Linked DNA regions of Drosophila melanogaster. The protein of the gene in region 1 interacts with the protein of each later gene in a pairwise test. Each region holds a gene or a part of one and is shown in the gene's direction. Other genes may lie near its edges. The genes, in order: CG31820 and CG8568.

Region 1 (2,939 bases):
CTTAAAGACCGCACATTTGTCTCAATGAAGGCCGTGTCACAAAAGTAACGTTAAGTTCTCCTTTTTACCTAATTTATACAGTTTACGCTGGGCGGTTGTCCAATGTCCACTGTCCCAATGTCCTGCGGCCCCTGCGATCTCCCATTTATGTCCGGATTCAGGGAGTGGAAGCCATATAATTGCGCTTATCTCTTGGCGCACACTCAAGTGGCCCGGCTCAATATGTTTTTGGAGTGAAATGAAGTGCCCATCGTATCCACTTGGAAAAGAAAAAAAAAATGAGAAAAAAAAGAGAAAAGAGGCAGGGCGGCCAAGAGGCACTGGCATTGGAATCCCGGCAGAAATTTTTGTATTTGATTTAAAAGGAAATACCTTTTTTAGTTGAAGCCTCACTTGTTTACCCTGCTGTTTTGCTTTTCCCTGGTGTTTCTCCCTTTTTGTGGTGACATTTTTATACACTGTGTGTGTGTGCAGGGGGATAAGTTTTTGGCATCCTACCAATGAGATTATCTTAAGTGGGGTGTTGTTTTTCGGTTCGAAGGAATGTGGAGGGCCCTCAATTGCAGTCTTGAAGCTGGGTTCCCTTTTTTGGTTCGTTTAGAAATGAGTTTCGCAATAGTTCTTAACTGTCTGGGGGTCTGTGGTTTTTCCTTTTCTCCAACAGCGAGCTGTTATTGGTAAATCGATGTAAATTGCTTTTTAAACAAGTTGAATGAATAAATTATAAGGCCAAATGGAATGCCAAGCGGAGGATTCATTGCCAATGTTAATAGTGAGAATTTTTGAAATTGTTATAAAATCCAGCGTTTAAGGTAAGCACAAAATTTGATAGCACAAAATATTATGAAATAAGTTTCAGTTATTATCTTTTTTTAATCTTATTGTATTTTAAAGCTAAGTATATAATAAAAACTCAAATATTTATTTATTGAAGCGTAGTTATTTGACATTTGCTGATTTGCTGATCACAACCAAAACAATTGCTTTTCATTATTCAAAATTTAAGCTGGCCGATTTAATACCATTTGAACAATTCCAATTTAGTTTAAATAAGTTACATTGTCCATTCTCTGATACAGACTTCTCATATATATGGATATATGTATATGTATATGCTGTGAGTGCATCTTTTGAAAGCCTCAAGTGTGAACACACATTATAATAAACGCCTCAATTGTTGTTCAGTCATCTGCGTAATTTATGTTTAGCTAATGTTCAGGGATCGATGAGCTTGTCAGCTTTTGTGAATCACAACGCCCGCAGACGCACACGAGGTCCTGTATATCCTATATCCTGTCCCGCACACACATGCCCTAACATTAACCCCCCGAAAACCGAAGGAAGCTGGAAAATGGCGTTAAGGTTGCTTCGTTGAGTCTAATAGACTTTCATGTCTGCCTCGACATTGCCGTTGCCCCAGTTTAGAGCGAGTCCTGTACAGAATCCTTTCGGCATCTTCCATCCCATCTCATACTGGTGTTATTCTGCCCAGAGTCGTCGTTTTTTTTTTTTTTTTAGACATGTTTCAATGATTTCTTATTTTTGCCAGAGGGGCGAATCTGTTGCGCTGCTGTTTTGTCGTTAGAGAAATTCAATTTTTTTGTATTTGTCGCTTCGATGTTAAATCATTGATGTGTGAAATTTGTGAGCTCAGCCAGGAGGAGAGCAGCATCAACAACTTGACTTTGATCGATTTTAAAGGCAGTTTCTCTAGCCCACTTTGATTTCCTTTCTGGCTTTCTAGCTGGTTTTAAATTTTTCCACATCAAGTTGGCTTCGGGAAGAATTTCCCAGGGCATGGGCTTGGTTTTCTTAGCTCAGCTCATTCCAGTCTATTTACTTGTTTTGTAAACAGCTCCGTACGCTTTCACCAGTACATAAACCAAAAGTACGAAAAAATTTCGTGTTTCAACATTTTTGGAAATCTTTACTCAAGCATTTCTCTTGCCTTAAACAAAATGTGAGTAGTCCTAATTTCCCCGAAAGATTTTCTATCGAATATCTCCTTCAGTTATAACCTATCCTCCCGAAGATGTGTTGCCAAGGAGCTTGTGGATCGGTATCCTATGCCCTGGCTTATGGCCCCGTCGGACCCGCTCTGCCAGCCATGAACTATAATAACTGCTGCTGTGGACCCAATCCTCCCTGTGGTCCCTGGACATGTCCTCCTAACAGGTGCTGTTGTGCCGGCGAATGGGGTTGCTTTGGGCCTTTTTACTGAGAAACCCAAGGTACGACAATTCCTGAAGAAAACGACGTGAAATTTTTTTGTGCTTTTGGTTTGAACCACATTTTCACTTACACAATGGTTCGAGCTTTTCAATAAATTAATGTACTTAAACAAGTAACTTCTTATTTACTATTTGTCAAATTTCTTGAGAAATTTCATATTCCATTGATACGTATATGAAAAATAAGAAAATATACCAAAATCCTAGATAGCACAATCTTACTAGGATTGAGTATCCTAAGTATACCATGAGGTATAATTCTTTCTCTAATGGTTCTTGAAATTGTATGGCTCAAATTTAATATTCCTTTAAAAAAAAATATACTAAAATTGTCGACAGTTTTACCAGGACCAGGATACCGATAGGAAAAATATGAAAATAATTAGGCGCGACAGCGTAGGTACAAGATCTCTAACTAAGGAACAAACTTACTTAGTCAGTATTAGTCCCTCAAATTTTTATTGGTTTCCCATGGAAATGGCTGGTACAAGAAGATCTACACTGATAATTTTAGTAGTATAAGACCGCATTTCCTCCTGGCGTTTATTCGTCTTCCTTTTTTTTCTGAGTACTCGCCAGTGTGCAGAGCTGCGCATCCAGTGGAGACAGGATGTGCGGAACATAGCAGTTGTTGGTGTTCTTCTTGCGGCTAGTATCTAGAACATAACACTTATCGCAAGGACCGCAGGGCGTGGGTATAAAGTCCCG
Region 2 (3,932 bases), on another chromosome or scaffold:
CGCCGAGAAAGACTCGCAGGCGTGCCAAATTGATGCTATCAGTAATGAATAATAATGCCCAATAAGCGAGTCGGCTGATAATGACGAGATGGCCCATTACATAAACGAAAGCACATTGCACCGCAGCTCCCAGCCAGTCCAGCTTATTAGCGTTAATTGTTGGCGACACTTTTATTTCCACTTCCATTTTCAATTTCATTTTCACATCTATTTCCATTTTGCTTTATTCCGCCGCCCGCCTTTGAATCGAAATAATGATTCGAACTTGGCAAGTGTCTGTCCCCCTTAACGCTTAACGAGATTGCAGTTCGGCTGACTCTCCTCCGCTGGCCTTTGGTCATCGGCCATTGGCCATTGGCCATCGGACACCGGCCACCGGCTGATAAATGAGTCTGGGCCAGACATTATGCAATATTGGGGCCCTAAGGCGATTGGGACCGGTACCCGAAATAGCCACCGAAATACGCTGCCATTCAAATGCAGTGATGCCCCAATAGTTTGAAATATCTCTTTCATAAATATCTCTTTTATAAACATTAATGATTTGTTAATATAATATCATAGCTTATGCCAAAAATCATAGAAATATTTTGTTGTTCAGATGCAATGCAAACAAAGAGGTTTTCAAATTTGTTAATTTATCTTCTTGCAACGTATTTCACTTCTTGAAAACAGATACAATTTTCCGTGTAGTTCGTTATTGTTGTTAAAAGAAAGGACTTTGCAGTGCCAGAGATTGTTATAAAAGGGTTAAAAAAGCCCAATTTGCTGAAATAGAACCATCAAATGGGAATCGCAACAATCGAATACAAAATGAAATGAAATGAAACAGGACGTGTTGCCCAAAGGACTGGTTTATTTGCTTGTTGATGCATTCGAAGAATGCCATTTTGGGGAAAAGGATGAACCAGGGAAGAGAATAAACTAGTGACATCCACAACGGATGCGGCAATCGGATCGATAAATCAGGCTTGTTTATGGCAACAGCAGCGGCCATAACCGTAACTCCCGCCGCCGGCAATGGTGCGGTGCCCAGTTCGAAAAACGAGTGGAGTGGAGTCGAGTCGAGTGGAGGGTTTCGGTTTGTCCATGGGGCCATGACCTGCCTCAAGTGCTTTGCGTAACAACAACAACACCACGCAGCAGCAGCAGCAGCAACAACAAATGCGGCAGGGAGTGTGGAATTTTGTTGTTTTTGGCTTTCCCAGCCAGTCACGATCGCCGCAATTTTCTTGTCACTGTCACCCGAAATACGACAAAAAAACAAAAACCGCTCGTCGCACGCAACAAAGCAAAGCAGCAACAGCAGCAACATCGGCTTAAAAGACAAATAAACAAAGCGGCTGCCACAGTAAAAACTGCAACTGCACGAACAGCAGCAGTAACAGTAACAGAAACAGTAACAACAATAGTAAAGAGGAATACAAAAAAAAAAAAAAAATGGTTGCAGCAGCAACAACAGAAATTGGCGATTCGCCGCTGCTGATAAGAACTAAATCGTCTGAGATCAATGCGAATATGGAATACCCTAATCAGGGAGTTAGGATATGTTTAAACAACTATGGATTTTTAAATAAAAATAATAATATTTTTTAAAAAACAAACCATGCTGCCAAAAAAATTCAAGTCGCAAAGTGAAATAAATGCAAATCATAAGAAAAGTTTTAAATTAAACCAAATCACAAATAAAATAGGATCATAAACTTAATAATACTAAGAATATATATTATTGGGTTATATACATAATTATTATAAAGAATTTATATATTATATATTTTATATTATAATTATATATTATTTAAATATCTTGTTTGTTAAATATATATAATACTTTATTTAATTTCAACTGAATATACATTTGATTATGATACTCAATATTTGTTAGAGTAGAATTATAAGGATTTTACTATTTGAAGTTCTTAAGCATATCGGAATGTACAAAGCTATTCACTGGACTGTGCTACCCTTTTTCGAGTAGTGTACAAATGGTTTGCCCGCAAAAACAGCAAACAGCCGCAACGAGCGACAATTTAACGAGGCTGCCGCGCTGCCGTTGGATATTGCTGCTGCTGCGGCTGCTGTTGCTGTTGCTGCTGCGTGGTGCTGCTGTTGCTGCGGTGTCCCCCCAGCAGCAACATTTTGGCCTCTGCCGCGCTCGCCGTCGCAGTCGCTGCCGTCGACGTCGACGTCCACTTATTCGGGCGGCGGTTTCCATTTCATTTTTAAGCTAACGCTCGTCGCGTTCAGCGTTTTAATATTTAATTGTCGTCGATCGCGAGCGGTTGTCATTGCTCCACTGGAATAATAGTTGAATTGCCATTGCCATTGGATTGCGATTGCCACGGCTGTACCGTTACCGTTAATCGTGAAGTGATCCGGGAATTCGCCAAGAGAATACCACACACAATACCATACCTGAAACGCGTTGCAGCACCCTTTTTTGTTCAGTGTTCATCAGTTTTTTGTTCAGTGTGCAGTTTGACATCCACAGTGGCCATGATTCCCTGGATTTGCCTAAGCGCGGCCATTGTGCTCATCCTGTGCCCCCTTCACACATCCTCGCGCAGCTACAGCAACGGTCTGATCTTCTACGAACTGAAGACCCACCGACCCTACCTACCGCCCACGGTCAGTGTGTCCAGGGGCCGAAATCTGGCCAGCGTCAAGTACTCCGAAAAGGGGTCCATCTGGTCCACCTTTGGCCAGCCCTGCGAGTGCAGCGGACCCACCTGCGGATGTTGCGCCGGTCTCAAGGTCGATCAGTACCGATTCGATCAGAAAGGTGAGAAAGCCCATGCTTCGTTAGCTATTAATGGGGAATAGAATATTGCAATACTTTAAATGTTTAGTAGATTATTGATTAGGAGATTAGTAATATGAAACAGTGTGACATTCGAGACATTATGAAAATTACAACCTTAGTTATAATTTCAAATTCAGAATGTTAAAAATATTTCTCATTTCTTTAGAAAGAAATGGTTTTGTATTGATGTATATTATTATGGTTTGAAACCAACAAGAACATTGATTACGAATAACATGTATTATATCTACGCGAGAAAGGATATGCATTTAGTAGATTTTTTGCACAGTGCACTTGTTATTTATTTGGTGAAGAAAACCATTAATGGGTTTTCATTTTCAGCATGCTATTTAGCCTTAATATCTTAATATACACTAATGGGCACTAGGTTAGTAATCGCCGTAGGATCAATCCGTCGGCCATATGCTTATGCATAAATTGGGATCTTTGCCGTCACTTAGCCTGGTCGGAATCGTGGCTCCTGGCCTGCGGGTGGTGGCCACACATATTTGGCTGCGATTTCGGCTGGATTCCAGGCCGATTTCCTTGGCCAAGAAACCGATCTTGGCCGCGGGTTGGCGGCGCATGCCGGAGACTACAATGCGATCGGTGGTTTGGCTTGGTTTCCATTTCGCTCCGCTTCGCTTCGTGACATGCCAGCATTTGCCAATCAAAATGCCACAAATTGTTGGCGCTTCCAGCGGTGGCCACCCCCTCATCGCCTCATCCACCATCCACCATTCAGCACCCAGCACCCACCATTTGCCTGGGATTCGTCGACAGTTTGCCACCCGCCACTTTCATTCATTGAATCGAATCGTTTCATTGTTGTGCCTATCTGTAATTTTGACTCAACGTTTTCTTTCCATTTTGCCTCTGTTTGCAGTGTGCGCCAACGTGAGCTTCGTGCCGCATCTGGAGGAGGCCCAACTGGAGGTCTTTCTTAATGGCAGGCCCTCCTCGAAATACGGAATCTCGGTGCGCAATCCGGCGCCCTTCTGCATTCCCGTCATGATGGGTGTACCGATGGCCATGTGCGTCCAAATGACCGACGTCACAGTGGTTGGGAACAACCTAAACATGTGCATGGACTTTGTGGTTCGGATGGCCACCACCGATCTCTTCGAGA

Evidence for each region.
Region 2: the proteins of CG31820 (region 1) and CG8568 interact in a two-hybrid assay, tested with the Drosophila melanogaster proteins (one large-scale study listed by BioGRID).

Annotation. Positions count from the first base shown.
Region 1 is NT_033779.5:16,005,188-16,008,126, reverse strand, and holds CG31820 (uncharacterized protein), read left to right. Parts: upstream 1-1,847; 5' UTR 1,848-1,960; intron 1,961-2,011; 5' UTR 2,012-2,032; coding exon 2,033-2,221; 3' UTR 2,222-2,338; downstream 2,339-2,939. Other genes in the region: CG13245 (uncharacterized protein), read right to left, coding at 2,775-2,939.
Region 2 is NC_004354.4:17,450,893-17,454,824, reverse strand, and holds the start of CG8568 (uncharacterized protein), read left to right. Parts: upstream 1-2,281; 5' UTR 2,282-2,496; coding exon 2,497-2,782; intron 2,783-3,689; coding exon 3,690-3,932.